2 linked regions of the Callithrix jacchus genome follow. The protein of the gene in region 1 binds, or shares a complex with, the protein of each later gene. Links are inferred from orthologs where the notes say so. Each region holds a gene or a part of one and is shown in the gene's direction. Other genes may lie near its edges.

Evidence for each region.
Region 2: the proteins of TSEN34 (region 1) and TSEN15 are in contact, whole or in part, in a crystal structure (PDB 6Z9U), measured with the Homo sapiens proteins. The link is inferred for Callithrix jacchus from reciprocal best matches to the Homo sapiens genes TSEN34 and TSEN15. Residues at the interface, in NP_001070914.1 of Homo sapiens: Pro251, Leu252, Arg253, Phe254, His255, Ala256, His257, Tyr258, Pro265, Glu266, Asp267, Thr268, Ile269, Pro270, Leu271, Gln272, Leu274, Ser283, Val284, Arg285, Lys286, Thr287, Leu289, Leu290, Cys291, Ser292, Gln294, Val300, Tyr301, Thr302; in NP_443197.1 of Homo sapiens: Leu70, Lys74, Trp76, Thr108, Pro109, Ile110, Thr111, Ala112, Ser113, Leu114, Ser115, His116, Asn117, Ile119, Arg120, Leu123, Leu141, Ile143, Val151, Tyr152, Tyr153, Lys154, Leu155, Thr156, Asp157, Gly158, Phe159, Met160, Leu161, Pro162.

Annotation. Positions count from the first base shown.
Region 1 is NC_133523.1:47,373,999-47,382,871, forward strand, and holds TSEN34 (tRNA-splicing endonuclease subunit Sen34), read left to right. Parts: upstream 1-1,468; 5' UTR 1,469-1,509; exon of another isoform or gene 1,510-1,807; intron 1,808-2,345; exon of another isoform or gene 2,346-2,379; intron 2,380-2,567; exon of another isoform or gene 2,568-2,648; 5' UTR 2,649-2,652; coding exon 2,653-2,895; intron 2,896-3,010; coding exon 3,011-3,254; intron 3,255-3,404; coding exon 3,405-3,662; intron 3,663-4,284; coding exon 4,285-4,472; 3' UTR 4,473-4,774; downstream 4,775-8,873. UniProt on the Homo sapiens protein: Constitutes one of the two catalytic subunit of the tRNA-splicing endonuclease complex, a complex responsible for identification and cleavage of the splice sites in pre-tRNA. It cleaves pre-tRNA at the 5'- and 3'-splice sites to release the intron.
Region 2 is NC_133519.1:42,220,705-42,229,562, forward strand, and holds the start of TSEN15 (tRNA-splicing endonuclease subunit Sen15), read left to right. Parts: upstream 1-4,259; 5' UTR 4,260-4,291; coding exon 4,292-4,426; intron 4,427-6,899; coding exon 6,900-6,981; intron 6,982-7,284; coding exon 7,285-7,420; intron 7,421-8,858. UniProt on the Homo sapiens protein: Non-catalytic subunit of the tRNA-splicing endonuclease complex, a complex responsible for identification and cleavage of the splice sites in pre-tRNA. It cleaves pre-tRNA at the 5' and 3' splice sites to release the intron.

The DNA of each region.
Region 1 (8,873 bases):
TCAGCGCCTCTCCTTTGAGAACCTAGGAACCGGGACTCCAGCTCCTTCCTCCTTGGAGGAGACAGGAAGACAGGAGACTCCTCTCCTTTCAGAGTGCACAGGGCTCCAGCCCTCCTCCTTTGAGAACGCAGGAAAGCGTGGGGCTCTCCCAGCACCCAGGCCCCACCTTTTCAAATGCAGAAATCAAAGCTACTCCCTGCACCCATGCTGAAGACCCAGATTTGAAGACGCCCCTCCTTAAAAAACCCAGAAGCAGCACCCCTCCCGGACCCCTCCTCTTTGAGAGCCCAGGAGTCTAGACGTCCAAGCCCCCTCTTCCAGCGAGGATCCAGGAGCCCAGACCCCCTCTTTGCATCCCCCATCCCCGGCCCTTGTGAAACCAGATATTCGTAACCCCGAGCCCTTCTCCTTCGAGAGCACCCAGAGGAGCCCGGGGCTCCAGCCTCCAACCTCTTTGGCGCTCCAGACCCCTCTCCTATTGAGAATTCGGGGATCGGAGCCCCTCCTTTCCCCAGGCCCAGGCCCAGCATGTCCCGCGCACGCCAGCGTGGGTCGGATCCCACTCCCGACAGAGCTACAGGAGGTTGCGCCAGCCCCGAACTCCAGCGCGCCCCGGAGCCGCCCCGCACCCGCCAGTCCGTAGCTACCCCGCCACCGCGTGACCCCCGCCTTGCCATTGGGGGCCGCCACCCCGGCCCACCTGAGCCGCCCGCCGGGAAGGAGGCGGCCGAGCAGTCCCAGCCCGCGAGCCGCCGCGGCTCCGGCCACGCCTCCCCCGCCCAGTGCGCCCCCGCGCCGCCTGCTCCTTCGGGGCGCCCGCCGAGCCCCGCGGATCGGGCCGGGGATGAGGCCACGGTCAGGGCCCCGGGCGGGCAGGGAAGAAGCCCGGGAGCGGGCGCCAGGAGCGCGAGCCAGCAGCGGCACTCGAGTCCAGGTCTGCAATGGGCTCCGAGTTCCGAGTACGTGAAGGGGCGGGGCCTCGGGCTCGGAACAAGGAGGAGCCAAAAGCCTTGGGCCCGGGGAGGATAAGACAGGATCCGGAAAAGAGGCGGGGTCTGGAGCCTAGCGTGAGAGATGAGGCGGGGTCTCCGTTCGGGTTCCTTCGGGCACAGTCGGGAGCTTGAGTTCACTGGAGGTGGGGCCACAAACTTCCGCTCACTTCGGAGATAGTCGAGAACCGAGTGGTGGGGCCGGCGTGGGCGGGGCCACACGTTTCGGCTTTCTTCGGAGATAGTCGAGTCAGGGTCGCTGTTCTGATGTGGGCGGGACCACACTCGGCCGGATGTGGGTGGGGCTACAAGTTTCGGTTTACTTCGTAGATAGTTGGGTATAAGTGACGCTAGGATGATAGGCGGAGTCAACAGGTTCGGCAGATACGGAAGAATATTTACAAAGTGGAGGGGCGAAAGCGACTTGCCCTCAAAGGGGCGGAACCCCGGAGATCGGCGTGCGCGTAGGGGGCGGGGTCAGGGAGACGATCCTCAAATTCCGGAGTAGCGGCAGAGGGAGGTGCGCTCGATGTGGGGGTGCCAAGGTGGCCACCGCGGGAAGAAGGCGGGGCTCCAGGCCTGTGAGGGGAGGGTCCTGACTTCCCGCGGCGCCGAGGCGGCGGAATGACGAAATTGACGCTGGGGGTCGACATGGGGAGGGGAGGGTGGAGGAAGCAGAGCGTGGCGCGCGGTGCGTAGTGGGTGGCTCCGCCTTGACTGCGAGTTGGTGGTATCTGAGGTGACTCGGTGATTCTATCCGTGGACCGTGGGACATTCTGAAGGGAAGCAAGGAAGCGGACTGAGCGCTCCTAAGTGGGGTGAGCCTGCCCGAGCGGAGAGTGGATGGCGGGTGGCCAGGGGGCGGGGCTTTCGGCTACGGGGTTCGGTCGTGGGGCGGGAACTCCCCAACTGGGGTGCGCTGGCTCTTGGAGTGGGAGGGGCCACAGGCTGCGGGACTGCCAGAAGCCGATGACGCAGAACGCCGAACCTTGTGCGTCCGGGAGTGGGCGGGCTACGTAGTCGGCCGAGCCGAGAACACCCGAACGCCAAATGGCTCACGTTCGAGAAGGGGGCGGGGCGGTGTATTCGGTGGAGTCGAGGACTCCCGAACGCCGAACCTCCCGCTCCAAGGAGGGAGCAGGGTTTCGTACTGTGGGAGTCTGAGAGCGAGTAGGCCCGACAGCCGAATCACAGTGGTTCGGAAACAGGAGGAGCTAAGGCCGGAGCGTCCCGAAGAGGGTGTGGCCTCGGCGGTGCTTTAGCTTCGAGAGCTTTTGATCCCCGACGGGAACGCCCACTTTGCAAGAGGGTGGAGCCAAAATGGACCTTTATAAGGGGGTGATTCGCCGCGCTTGTGGTTTCTTTTTGAGACTTGAAGGCGCAATAGCAGGTAGGGCAGTGTGGGCACAGAGCGGGTGCCGACGGCAGGGTCACAAGGGCTGAGCGGGGCTCCGTCTCCGGCGGCCGCGGAGCCTGGTGGGATCGTCCGGGGGCGGGGCCTGGCACTTGGGCCCAGCAGGTGGTGAACAGCGGCCGAGCGAGGCCCCGCCCTTTGTGGCCTGGGGGCGGGGTTTTGCCAGATCCCGAGGCGCCGAGTGCTCTCCCGGGGGCCCGCGGCGCAGCTGTTTCGGTGACCGCTTTGTCTCCCGGCTCCCGCAGGAGGATGCTGGTTGTGGAGGTGGCGAACGGCCGCTCCCTGGTGTGGGGGGCCGAGGCGGTTCAGGCCCTCCGGGAGCGCCTGGGAGTGGGGGGCCGCACGGTAGGCGCCCTGCCCCGCGGGCCCCGCCAGAACTCACGCTTGGGCCTCCCGCTGCTGTTGATGCCCGAAGAGGCGCGGCTCCTGGCAGAGATCGGTGCTGTGACTCTGGTCAGCGCCCCGCGCCCAGACCCTCGGCACCACAGCCTGGTAAGGGGGCGGGGCTCGAACTCCTGGATCTGGTGGGAGCGGGGCCTGAGAGTCCGGATTACTGGCTTCCGAAGCGACCATAAGCTTGGAGGTTCCAGCGAAGTGTGCTTCTCAGGCCCTGACATCCTTCAAGCGCCAACAAGAACAGAGCTTCCAGGAGCAGAGCGCCTTGGCAGCTGAGGCCCGGGAGACCCGTCGGCAGGAGCTCCTAGAGAAGATTACGGAGGGCCAGGCTGCCAAGAAGCAGAAGCTGGAACAGGCTTCAGGGGCCAGCGCGAGCCAGGAGGCCGGCGGGAGCCAGGCTGCCAAAGTGAACGAGACCAGTGATCTCCAGGCTTCGGGAGAGCAGGAGGAAGCCGGTGAGCGTGGGAGGTGGAGTCCAGGGACCATGGGAAGAAAAGGAGAGATCTTTTGGGAATTTTAGCTGGGAATCCAGTGCCTGGGTCTCCTTGAGGGTGCGAAGACTTTGCCCCTTGGATTTACCAAACTCTTCTCTGTACTTCAACCAGGCCCCTCCTCTTCCCAAGCAGGACCCTCAAATGGAGTAGCCCCCTTGCCCAGATCTGCTCTCCTTGTCCAGCTGGCCACTGCCAGGCCTCGACCTGTCAAGGCCAGGCCCCTGGACTGGCGTGTCCAGTCTAAAGACTGGCCCCACGCCGGCCGCCCTGCCCATGAGCTGCGCTACAGCATCTACAGAGACCTGTGGGAGCGGGGCTTCTTCCTCAGCGCGGCTGGGAAGTTTGGAGGTGACTTCCTGGTCTATCCGGGTGAGTTTGGGTTGGGGCCTCTGGTTGCTATGCTAGTCTTTACAATCTCAATGTATTCTGCGGTTTTCTTACCTTTCTTCTCTTAACAGAGATGGGGTCTGTGTTGTTGCTCAGGCTGGTCCCAATTCCTGGGCTCAAGCAATCTTCGCACCTCAGCCTCCCAAAGTGCTGGGATTACAGGCCCAGCTGCATTTTTCTTTTTTGTCTCACTTTCTGTTAGCTTCTTACATTCACAGATGGACAAGAAACATTTGAGAGCTCCCCAACTCACTGGGCAAGCAGTTTAGCGACTCTTATTAAATGCTTACTGTGATCCAGAAGATTAACTCAGAAGCAGACATCAGGCCGGTGCGATGGCTCACGCCTGTAATCTCAGCACTTTGGGAGACTGAGGCGGGCAGATCACCTGAGGTCAGGAGTTCAAGACCAGCCTGGCCAACGTGAAGAAACCCTGTCTTTAAAAGAAAAAAAATCTAGAAGTGTAGTAGTTGGTCCAAGCATTATCTGGTTTAGACCATCCAGAGGAGTTGCTGAAATGCTCTCGCATCTCCCACCAGCAGTCACTCCTGTGGCTTCTACCCCCTGCCATTGGCCACTGCTTCAGTGCCTCTGTCCCCACCAGGTGACCCACTCCGCTTCCACGCCCACTACATCGCTCAGTGCTGGGCCCCCGAGGACCCCATCCCACTCCAGGACCTGGTTGCTGCTGGGCGCCTTGGAACCAGCGTCAGAAAGACCCTGCTCCTCTGCTCTCCGCAGCCTGATGGTAAGGTGGTCTACACCTCCCTGCAGTGGGCCAGCCTGCAGTGAACTCCAGAGACCTAGGCGGATGTGGCTGTGTCGGCAGCAAGAGCCTTTCTGGATGTTCCCAAGCTTTTTCTGGGAGTCTAGAACATCCTCCCACCTTTCTCTGCGCTTAGTTTTTGATTCCAGGTTTTCCAACGCTAAGTCCTTTTTATGTTCTTCCTTGTCTCAAAGCACTTCCTGGCTGTGTTGTTTTGCAGTTACCTGTTTTCACACTGTGAGCTTCCTGAGAATGGGAACTGGGTTTGATTCATCTGTTTTCTACAGGGGTTAAGTCTCAGGAGGTCTCAATAAACTTGTTATCTGAATGTTCATGAGTTGAATTCTTATGACAATCCTGGAACCTGCTGGCGGTCTTATCTGCATGTACAGATGAGAAAAAGGCCTGGAGGAGGGGATGACTTGCCAAGGTCACACAGCTAGTCAACAGCAGGCCTGGCCTTTAAAAATGTTTTTTTCTGACTCCTAAATCTGCCCTCTTTCTACCACACTAAACTTCCTTTTGAAAAGATTTCTATGAAACTTCTCAGATGCATGCATAAATAAAAATATAGGCTGGGCGTGATGGCTCACACCTGTAATCCCACAGCACTTTGGGAGGCCATCGCAGGAGGATTGCTTGAGACCAGCTCTGGTGACGCTGTAATACCCCATCTCTACAAAAAAATAATTTAAAAAAATTAGCCAGGGATCCCTTAAGCCTGGGAAGTTGAGGCTGCTGTGAGCTGTGATCGCACCACTGCACTCCAACATAGGAGACAGAGCAAGAGACCTTGTCTCAAAAAAAAAGTGTGTGTCTGTGTGTGTGTGAATATATATACATATGTATATGTGTGTGTGTATATATGTATATGTACATACATATGAAAGAAAAAAGGAGATGAGAATATTGTAATTTTAGGAGTTCAGAGCATGGGGAGGATGTCAGGAAGGACTCTGGAAGGCGTTCTGCTTTTTCATGGCCTGGGTAGTAGTTGAGAATTTTTTTGCTGCTGTACATTGATATTTTAGACTCGTTTTTTTATGTGTTATATTCTGCAACTTTTACAAAAGCTAAAACATGTATGTGTATAAAATACGCACTTTTGAAATCGTTTACCCACGGTTTTGCTTAGAACTCGGTACTGGAACACTGCCACGAATCCAGTACCTTTATCCTACCAGTGTGCAGTTTTATTTTGTCAGTGTAATAGTCACAGCCTAGAATTCTGGGGCTGAAAGTCTTTATTTCTAGTTCTTAATTTCTTTTCCCTACATATATCTATCTATCTGTCCATCTAGCTATCTTTTTCTCTCTCTCTCTCTTCTGTGAATTGAGCGGCCTCTGGAATCAGAATAGGTTTTGAGAGACTTCCATCTCCCCACTTTCTTGACATTACCAGTAAACAGACTTCATAGAATCTCAATTTCCTAAAGGTTTAATTTAAAATACGACACTGGGCTGGGTGTGGTGGCTCCCGCCTGTAATCCTAGCACTTTGGGAGTCTGAGGTGGGTGGATCACCTAAGGTCAGGAGTTTGACACTAGCCTGGCCAATATGGTGAAACCCCGAGTTCGAGATGAGCTTGGCCAATATGGTGAAACCCCGAGTTCGAGACTAGCCTGGCCAATATGGTGAAACCCCAAGTTCGAGACTAGCCTGGCCAATATGGTGAAACCCCATCTGTACTAAAAGTACAAAAAAAATTAGCCAGGTGTGGTGGTGGACGCCTGTAATCTATCCAAGCTACTCAGGAGCCTGAAGCAGGAGAATCACTTGAACCCAGGAGGCCAAAGTTGCAGTGAGCCGAGATTGCACCACTGCACTCCAGCCTGGGCAACAAGAGCGAAATTCCATTTAAAAAAGAAAAAGGGGCCGGGCGCGGTGGCTCACGCCTGTAATCCCAGCACTTTGGGAGGCCGAGACCGGTGGATCACGAGGTCAAGAGATTGAGACCATCCAGTTCAACATGGTGAAACCCCGTCTCTACTAAAAATACAAAAAATTAGCTGGGCATTGTGGCGCGTGCCTGTAATCCCAGCTACTCGGGAGGCTGAGGCAGGAGAATTGCCTGAACCCAGGAGGCGGAGGTTGTGGTGAGCCGAGATTGCGCCATTGCACTCCAGCCTGGGTAACAGGAGCGAAACTCCGTCTCAAAAAAAAAAAAGGAAAAGACACTAACCTCTGTCTGGCCAAGACTAATCTTTGTGCCTGTTTGATAAGTGGCTTGTAAGTCTATGCTCTACCCTTTCTCCTCTCTACAACAAGTAATTAGATGTCTCAGTACCTCTGTCATGAGCCTCTCCTCTGAAAAGTTTCTCATTCAAAACTTTTGTGGCTGGGTGTGGTGGCTCAGGCCTGTAATCCTAGCACTTTGGGAGGCCAGGGTGGGAAGATCAGTTGAGCTCAGGAGTTCGACACCAGCCTGAGCTGAACATAGTGAGACCTCGCCTCTATTTAAAAAAAAAAAGAAAACTTTTGTGACTGATGTTTCCATGTCATCAGTCAACAAATTCTGTAGGTGCCATGTTCTAAGTTTGGCCCCTGCCCTCCACCTTCACTGGCAGCATCTTAGAAAAACCAAACCATTGCTCATTTGATCCTAATAGTGTCCTAACTCATCCCCTGCCTTCTAGCCTTGCCCCTCTGTTGACTGTTTTCAACAGAGCAGCCAGAATCATCATATTAAAAGATAAGTCAGACCATTTCACAGCCCTTGTCTAAAACTCGCAGTTTTCCATCTCCGAGTGAAAGCCAAAGGCCTCACTTTGCAGGTTCCTCATGAACTGACCACATGCGTCCTCTTACTATTATTTTTTTTAAACTAAGACTTCAGCATTTTCATACTTCAAGCATCCTCTTCCTTATTTTTTCTTTTTGAGACGGAGTTTCGCTCTTGTTACCCAGGCTGGAGTGCAATGGCGCGATCTCGCCTCACCGCAACCTCCGCCTCCTGGGTTCAGGCAATTCTCCTGCCTCAGCCTCCTGAGTAGCTGGGATTACAGGCACGTGCCACCATGCCCAGCTAATTTTTTATATTTTTAGTAGAGACGGGGTTTCACCACGTTGACCAGGATGGTCTCGATCTCTTGACCTCGTGATCCACTTGCCTTGGCCTCCCAAAGTGCTGGGATTACCGGTGTGAGCCACGGCGCCCGGCATTTTTAAATTTTTTTTACTATCTCCAGTAATGAGTATAAGGCAAGCATTTTTTTTTTTTTAATTTATTTTGAGATCAGAGTCTTGCTCTGTTGCCCAGGCTGCAGTGCAGTAGCATAGTCTCAGCTCACTGCAGCCTCTGCCTCCCGGGTTCAAGCGATTCTCCCACCTCAGCCTCCCAAGTACCTGGGATTACAGGTGCCCGCCTGCATGCCAAGCTAGTGTTTTGTATTTTAGTAGAGATGGGGTTTCACCCTGTTGCCCAGGCTCGAACTCCTGAGCTCAGGCCATCTGTCCACCTCAGCCTCCCAAAGTGCTAGGATTACAGGCGTGAGCCACCTCGTCCAGCCAGCTTTGTTCCTTTTTACTGATGAAACTTCCATTGTGTGGACACAACCACACTTTGTTTATCCATTCACAAGTTGTTGGCACACAGTTAAGGAAAGGTTTTTGTTTTCGTTGTATTTTCCCTTGTTCATGCAGCAGCCCCAGGACCAAGAACAGTTCCTAGCACACAGTAAGCAGTCAGTATATTATTGCTAAATGAATGAGTTGTTTTTTTGGTGTGTGTATTTTAGTAGAGATGGGGTTCCACAATGTTGGTCAGTATGGTCTCGATCTCCTGACCTAAAGTGCTGGGATTGCAGGTGTGAACCACTGCACCTGGCCATGAGTGGTTTAAACTATCATTTTTAAATCAAGGCTGGCTGAGACAACTTGGAAATTATAATTTCCCCTAATATACGACTTTCTAAGCATATTTTTAATATGCATTTATGATTTTTATTAATGCAAATTGTAGCATACTATACACACTCAGCAGCTTGCTTTTTTGATATGCCCAGGCTTGCTTCATTTTTGCAAACAGCTACATGCTTTTGCGTCCTACAGATGGGGCATAATTAGATTGTATTACACTTGTACAAAAGAAAAGAAAGGAATTCAGCTCCCCAAGCATGCCCAACTGGTCCCTGGCAACCCATGATGGAAACCAAGGGTTCCTTTTATATTACCTGTGTGCCTTTCAGAGCAGAAGGGCCAGAGGGCTCCAGGCTGAGTGAAAGGGAGGAAGCATGAGGGGTTTGTGGAAGAGGGGCCAGTGCCCTGTGATTGGACCATGCTTCTGAAGAGGATCAAGGTGAGGCCCAGTCTCATCAGCTGACCCTTGAGCAACATGAGTCTGAACTGCTCAGCTCCACTTACTGCAGATTTAAAGAAGTAAAGGTCACACAGCATGCCTACCTCTCCTGCTTTGCCTTTTACCCCCT
Region 2 (8,858 bases), on another chromosome or scaffold:
GGAGGCGGAGGTTGCGGTGAGCCGAGATCGTGCCATTGCACTCCAGCCTGGGTAACAAGAGCGAAACTCCGTCTCAAAAAAAAAAAAAAAAAAATTGCTCTAGAATATATACCTGGGATTATAATTGTTGGATCATAGGATTTGTGCATCTATCCTTTGGTCTACTTTTATGCCAACTCTTGGCTTTTGTTGCTAATCTGGTGAATTAAGGTATCTTCTTACCTCAATTTGCATTTTCTTAATCAATGTGGCTGAACATCAAGTCATATTTGCTGGCCTTTTAATCTGTTTTTCTGTTTATTCTCATTTTTTTTTTAACCCGAGGAGTGGTTTTTTTTTTTAATTCCTAATTGATTTTTAGGAGCTCTTTATAGATTCTGGGTATCTTTTCTTTCAATTATGTGTTCCAGATGTCTTCCCCTCACCCCACTCTCTGTGTTGGAAATTCTTAACTGAAATACAGTTATATTGCCAAATTTTTCCCATATGGTCTGTGTTTTTTGTGTCTTGTTTAAGAAATCACTCTCTTGGGGTCATAAAATATTCTTTTATATTCTCTCCTAGAGATTTAAAAGTGTTTGCCTCCACGCCATGTAGCCAATCACACTCTCTCCTTCCCTTCTTGCATCTGCAGTGTTACTTCTGCCCACATTCGTATGAGTCTGCTTTCTGGCTCCCTACTTTGTTTCGTTGGTTTTACCTATCCATGTGCCAATGTCACATCCTTGTAATTAGATATATTTACAAGAATTTAAATTTTGTTTAAAACTTTACCTTTATAAGATATTTTATATTTCAGAATTTTAACTTCATAAGAGTTTCCTTCCTTTTGTTCATAAAAAGGGTCTTGGTTATCTTTGGTCCCTTATGCCCAAATTTCAGAATCAGCTTATCAGGTATTAAGAAAATCCTTCTTGGGATTTTAATTGGAATTGCTAGAATCTGTAAATAACTTTGGAGGAAATTGCCATCTTTATAATATTGAATTATTCTCTTTCTTGAATCTTTCTCTGTTCTTGAAACACAGAGAATGGGAAATTGTGTGTGTCGGTTACAAAAAAAAAGGAAAAAGATATATATGAGCATCCTTACAGCCAATGAATGAAAAAGCTAATCCAGAATCCTAGACAACATTTTTCAGCATGGGATCACTGTCTCATATAATAGTGTGAAAAAGCTTTTTCTTCTTTTTTTTCACACTAGAGATTCACATCACAATTTAATGTTCGCATTTCCTCTTGAGACTCTTACTGAATTAATATGTCTCTGGCTAGACATTACAGATTTTTGTAGGAATAAAATGGTCTGGCTCAGGATATCATTGGGAAATGAGGTCAGCAAGTGCCAGATTACAATGAATTTTATTAAATCCAATACACTCAGGGGATTTTATTCGTTGTTTCTTATCTAGCCTTTTTTCTCACTACTTTGGTTCTCTAAAGTGAACTATTGAAGCATTTTACAAAAGGAGAAATCCTCCAGGTTACCAGACACCGAAACTCTCCTCTGTTCTCTAGGGGATTTCACTCTAGATTGCTGCAACAGTCATTTGATTCTGCACTGTAAATACTAGGTTGTCTAAGTGTTTCCAAATCCTTTGTGTTCACTTTTAGCAATTCCCAATCACCAAGACTTCAGTTTCCATTGCTTAACAGGGAAGCTAAGAGACACTCCCTTTTCATTCTCCATCTCTTAAATAGACAAGGACATTAAAAGTCAGAAGTATGTAATATTTATGCCTGAATGTATCATGCTTTTTCTAAGCAACAGTATTTAATCTATTTGCCAAAGGATGGCATTTATCTGTTGCTTTTTTGATTTATGGTTCTTTCTTCATCCTTCTAGTTTTTCCTATCTCCAATTTCTTTTTTCTTGAACATAAGCTGAAATTCTTCTCCTGAAGATGTTTGAGGCTGGTTCACATAGTCCCTAATCCCGCTGGAAATCCTTAATGATTTATAAAATTTTTCCCCTACTCAGATTAGCAACAAAACACTCTTAATGCTTCTAAAAATGCCATCATATGAACTAATTTGGATCTTTAGGAGTCAGATTTATTCACTTCCAAGCACTATTCAAGTGTTTCAGTGATTCATGCTTCAATGGCCCTATTAATTTCAGTGCCATTTTCCTCTTTCGGGTTTTGCAGCTGCTTTGTGGAGGCAAAGGTTCATTCAAATGTAATATATTTGAGGGCAATATATGAATCTTCATGTGTGACTTTACATCTCATTCAATAATAGATGCCCTTCTTTTCCCTGTGTATGATATGTTGTTTCTTTTAATGGATTCAAGCTTTTCTCTTTATCTTTTTGACTTTCAATAGTTTGATTAAAATGTAGAATTCTTTGTGTTTATTTTAGTTGTTGTATATTTAGCATTTTGTACTGGCAAATGTCTCTCATTAAATTTGGGGAAATTTTGGCCACTCTTTCTTCAACAGTTTTTTTCTGTCCCTTGTTTTTTTCTACTTCTGTTATTTACATGCATGTTGAATCAAATCTCTGTGGATCTACTCACTTTTTAAAGATAATTTTTCTTGTTGTTGTTTACTTTTAATAATTTATATTGCTCTATTTCAAGTTCCCTACTTTTTCTTCTGTAATTTCTTTCTGGCTGTTAAATTAACCCAGTTAATTTTTTTATTTTTAAAATTATAATTTTCAATCTTCAGAATTTCTATTTGGTTTTAAAAATCTTTTTTTTTCTTTTTTTGCTGAGATTTTCTGTTTGTCTCTTGAGATTTTCATTCATTGAAAACATGTTTTACTTCATTGAAATTGTTTTAATGGTCACTTTAAAATCCTTATCTGTCAGTTTCAACTTCTGATTCATCTCAGGGTCAAACTCTAGAGTATGCAATCCATTTTCTTGAATTTCATATGTCAGATAATTTGGGATAGTATACTGGACTTTATGAGTGTTAAGTGGAGAGTGTGGATTCTATTATTTTTCTCTGATAAGTGTTATTTCCTTTGTATTCGTAGGTAATTTTTCTGGCTAGATTTTAACTGCAAACTCTCTCCCTTTGGAGACAACTCTGATCTCAGTTCAGATTTTTTGTCTTTAACTGAGCTGCTGTGATTCTGTTTTGAGTGGTTCAGGAGCTCTCAGAGATGTGGATTGACAGAGTTTGGGGATCCACTCTCTGATCCTTCCTTGGGATTTCTTAACCTCTTCGGAATTCAAACTATTCTGGCTTCACTTTTCTGCTTCCCCAGATAAGAATAACCAATAAGTTTTATATACACACACCTGCTGCTGCTGCTGCTGCTGCTGCTGCTGCTGCTGCTGCTGCTGCTGCTGCTGCTGAGCCTAACTTCTGGACTGCACTTAGCCCCAAGTTAAATGCCAGAGAGGGGAATGTTCTTGTGGAGTTCCTCATCTTTAAGCAAGCTTGCCCTTCCTACCAGTCTGCTGTTCACTCTCCAGTATATTCAGCTTTTTGTATTGTGTTCAACTTGTTTTCTGCTGGGGATGGTCCAGTAGGGTCTTAGCCTATCATGGTTGAAAGTTGAATTTCTGTCCTGCCTGGAACTTCGGATTTTGAGTCATCCTTGTCTTGGTAAATGCGATAGCCTCCTCACCAGTCCCTGTTTATGTCCTTGCTCCCTACAGTCCATCCTCAACACATCAGAGTGATCCTATGAAAACATAACAGGAGCCTCCAACAGTTTCCCATTTCGCTCACAGTAAATAAAAAATGCTTAAAATGTGCTACTCTGCCTGCCGGAAACTCCTCATCCTTGGCTTCCAGATCACATGCTTGTGCCAGTTTGTATCCTAGCTTTCTGAACACTCATTCAGCAACTCGTGTTTCCTCTAATACTGAAACATGGGTCCAGCCTGTAACTACGGTTCTACTTCAAAGATTTTTGTCAAGGCACTGAGTAAGGCTTTTCCGGTTCTCAGGAATCAGAAACCAGGACCCCACTGTTAAAGGCAAAGAGAACGTATACATCCCCCAACTTTCTCAAAGAACTATAGGCAGCACTGACTTAAAGAGGATTAAGAGCTTCCAGGCGCGGGCTACTCTTGAATATTTTTCAGGCTAGAACTTGCTCGGATTTGAATAAACGCAGAGCAAAACTAGAGACTAAACTAGAGAGCGTTCGCGCAGGTTCTTACTACCTTGGTCAGAAGGGGGGGCTGACGCAACTTTCCTCCCAGATTCAGAGCCTTCTCGTGCAACCACGGCGAGTCTCGAGGAAGCGGAACCCACAGGCGCGCGCGCAGCTGTTTCTGGCCGGGCACGGGTCGCGGTGCACCACGGGAGTGCCAAACCGGCTGCATGGAGGAGCGCGGCGATTCCGAGCCGACCCCCGGCTGCAGCGGCCTGGGTCCGGGCGGTGTTCACGGCTTTGGCGACGGCGGCGGAGCTCCCTCGTGGGCCCCCGAGGACGCCTGGATGGGCTCCCACCCTAAGGTCAGGAGGCGTGAGAGGAGCAGGACGCCGTCCGGGCCCCTAGCCCAGGCAGAACTCCCGGGCTGCCCTCTTACTTTCTCCCTCAGCGCGAGAGCTGAGGATGCGCCCCACCCTCACCGAGGTGGACCGGTGTGCACAGCTGCCAACCTCAGGCAGCATCGGTTTTGTTTGTTTAAATTAGTTGAACTATTCGTTCCGACACCTTCCCCAACCCGCCACCGAAGCCATTCTGGAACCTAGGACCAGACATTAACTCCACCCCTCTCGAGCCGGAGATTCCTAAGAAGCGTTCCATTAGTTTTGCTCTCTAGGTAAATCCCCTTTCCGGGATGAATTCATTTAATCCTCACAGTAACCATGCAAGACAGTTTGTGGCCGATGGATAAGCTCTAGGGGTCCATAATGGTAAAGATTTAGGCACAGTCATATTTACATTTAGCTTTGGGTCCAGAGTACACCTTTATTTTGCAAAGGTGCAGATTCCTAATATTTCAGATTTCTTTGAAAGTTTGAATAGGTTCTTACCCAAAGCAGAGCTACTCACATTTTACTTGTATTTTTCTACAGTAGCAGGAAGGGAGATAAAGATAGTCCCCTGCGTGCTTCTGCTTGAGACATTACTGCCTTGTCCCAGTAAGGTTCCAAGCAGTAAATAGACAAGTGAATGGAGATGTGAGTTTTGTAAAAATCTCAAAAACTGGTCTGGTCTGATACTTTATTAGAATTGTACTCTTCTCCTAGAGAGCAATAATTCATAGATAATAGTCTAAAAACGGAAAAATTTGAAGGTATATGTTTGAAAAGAGTTAACCTTTTTCAGCTTCTCTTGCTTAATTTTATGTTCCTATGCCGTCCCCTTCATTCTTCCAAAAGGTGAGAAAAAGAAACAATAGTATGGAAATACTTAGTGCCATGAAAGAGAAACAATAGCATGGAGAGACAGCATAACGGTTAGGAGCATGAACTCAAAATCAGACTCAGTTTAAATCTTGATTCTGTCACTTATCAACCTTGTGATTTGGGACAAGTTGTTTGATCCCATTATGCCTCAGTTTCCTCACCTGAAAAATGGGGATATTAATAGTCCATACTTACAGGGTTGCTACAGGATTAAATTAGTTAATATTTGTAAGCCATTCAACATATAGAAAGCACTATAAAGCACTTAATAAGTTAAACACCAGTAACAAATTTTTAAAACCTTATCTAGATTTGGTGTTGTTACTCAGTTTACATACTTGTAGAGTTTTTTCATTTTGAAGTTAATGGCTGTGTACATACACCATGACCATCAAATCTCTCCTTTTGATTTATCTTCTTGAAGGACCAAAATGATTTTTAAAAGAAAAGGAAAAGAAATAATAAAGTAATAGGGGGTGTTTGTTTTTCCAATTTCACCTTTTTGTTCATTCAAAAATTACATAGGTTCATCCAGTAAAATGGTATCAGATTTATTATCCTCAAACACACTTTTATTATTCTCTTGCTTAGAAATCCTCAGTGTTTCCTCAATGACAAAAATCACGTTTAGCTTAAGACCTTGCAGCCTGGCTCAAAATTATGTTTTGAGTGTCACTTTCCAACATGTTTGAAGTAGACAACTAATAACCCATATCCTCCTGTACCTGTGCAGTTACAGTGAAGCTGATGGGAGAATGTGACTTAGGACCTGTCCCCATGCAGGTCTGCTAGTACTTCACCTCAGCATTAGCCCCACATATCCACCTAGTCACCAGCATAGCTGGGCAGCTTCAGAATTCTGCAGGTGTAGGCCCCTGAAACACGTTTCCCTTATGCTGATCAGTTGTCTGAAAGAAGCAGCTTTCTCTAGTTTCTTGTCAATCCCCTTTTAAAAATCTAATGATTAAATAATTCCGTACTCTTAAAGTGCGAAAGAATGGGTAGAGAAGCTAGGACTGATACTGTGGCAGACTCTCTCCACAGATAAATAAGAGGCTAGGGAAATACACAGTACCTACTAATAGGTCCCAACGTAAATCTTATTAAAAAGGTTTCTATTGCTGGGAGATAGGTTTCTTTACAGTCCCTTGAATACGTGTGACTTAATCCCACCTTTGTGTGATTACCTGCACTATTACTCAACTTCTCCATTTACTCAAATGATAATGTTCTGTGCTCAACTTGTATCCTATCCTGCCTCTGCTGTAAAGCTTTCACCAGTCCCTCTGAGTAGAGCTCTTCTGACCTGTCGTGTCATGTTTCTTATTCCATTTACGTGGTTTTTAATCACGGTCATATATTGTTATTTGCCTAACAATGTTAAGTACGCATGTATTTAACAATCGCAAGTTCTTTAGAGACAGAGATAATATTTTATATTGCCTTTTAACTTCCACTATACCCAGAAGAATTTTATGGATTATATATACTTAATGACTGACTACTTGTTGATTGAAAGAAAATATTAAACAATTCTTCCTTCTCGATTTGACAATTATATTTTAATTTTCAGTATTTAGAAATGATGGAATTAGATATAGGAGATGCCACCCAAGTTTATATAGCATTCTTGGTTTACCTGGACCTCATGGAAAGTAAGTTGTTTGTTTATACTGTTTTGTTATTGGGACTGTGGTAGAGGTTTGGGGGATTGGATTGGGATATATATAGCATTCTTCACATTATAATAAGCAATCTTATATGCATTTGCTGTTAATTTTGTAATTTCTTCATTTATTTACATTGGGAATTACTGAGTAATAGAAACTACTAGAAAAGCAAAGAGAGGAGGTAGTGTTATGAGTGATATTTGCTCAGCTGAGTTTTAGGCAGAAGTTTGGAGTTTTTATCTTTTGATTTTAATAAACATTATTGTCCATTCAATGATGCTCTTTCAGGCAAAAGCTGGCATGAAGTAAACTGTGTAGGATTACCAGAACTTCAGCTCATCTGCCTTGTTGGTACTGAGATAGAAGGGGAAGGGTTACAGACTGTGGTGCCTACCCCCATCACTGCTTCCCTCAGCCATAACAGGTGAGCAGGTGATTTTGGTTTAAGTTCCTTTCCCAAGTAAAGAAGTAGGAAACATTAAAGGTAGCGATACAGTATTTTTAAAGAAGTTTGGGATACAGCAACCATAGCTTTACTCTTGGCTATTTGAGGAATAAGTTAAATATGACTGTTGTATTCAGCCGTTCTTGCATTACTATAAATATCTGAGATTTTTTTTTTTTTTTATTTCTTTAAAAAAAGGTTTATGGGACTCATAGTTCTGCGGACTTTACAGTAAGCATGCTGCTGGCATCTATGTGGCTTCTAGGGAGGCCTCAGAAAGCTTATAATCATGGCAGGGGATGAACCAAGAACAGGCACGTATATGGCAAAAGCAGGAGTGAGAGAGAATGTGTTGAGGGGGAGGTTCCACACACTTTTAAATGGCCAGATCTCACAAGAACTCATTGTCCTGAAGACAGCTCCTAGCCATGAGGGATTTACGCCCATAACCCAAATACCTCCCACCAGGCCCCACCTTCAACATTGGGGATGGCAGTTCAACATGGGATTTGGGCAGGAACAAATATACAAAGTATATCAAGGATTGAACAAGTATTTATTTAGCACTTACTCTGTGGTCAGTACTTTTTCAGAGACGGTATGTATGGTAGAAATATTAGCCTTATGGAAGTATTTATATTCTTGATAAGGAAGCAAGACCATTACATTTGAAATAATAGATATTATAAGATATACCATGTAATAGAAGTCATACTTGATATAGGAGTTGGTAAAGAGCATGATTAACATTAATTGAAATCAAAGAAAGTTTCATGTAGTTTATGGGACCTTTTTTTAAAAAGCTTAGGTACACAGCATTATATTAAACATGTCTTTGTTTCATGACGTATTCTCATTATTAGTTCATGCTTGGTTTTTATTTATTTACTTAGTTATTTTTAATAATGTTGTAAGTATCTCTGTACCCATCACCCGAAGCAAAACTAGGTTCTTGACTATAACTAACATCTAATCTTGTAAGTCCCTTAACATGTTCTCACTGACCTGAGGTAACTGTCATTCTGAATTCCATGTTTATTGGGAATTTTTAAATTTTAGATATTTTTAACTTCAATTTAAAAATCTTGTCTTTTATGACTGAACTTATACACTTAATATTATATTGCTAAAATTCATCCATTGTTGTGCCTTTTTTGGGCTGCCATATAATATTACATTGTGTGATTATACCACCATTTTCACATCCACTCCCTTGATGATGGAGTGTTGCTAATGTTTGACTTTAGGAGGTAATTTCAAACATTTTCAAATTGGTTGCCTCAATTTACTTTTCACCTGCAATGTAATCAAGACCCTTTGGAGCTGTATTGTCTCTACGTTGAGTATTGTCAGACTTTTAAATTTTGCCAACAGAATGGATTATTCTCATTGTGGTCTTAATTTGCCTTTCTCTCAT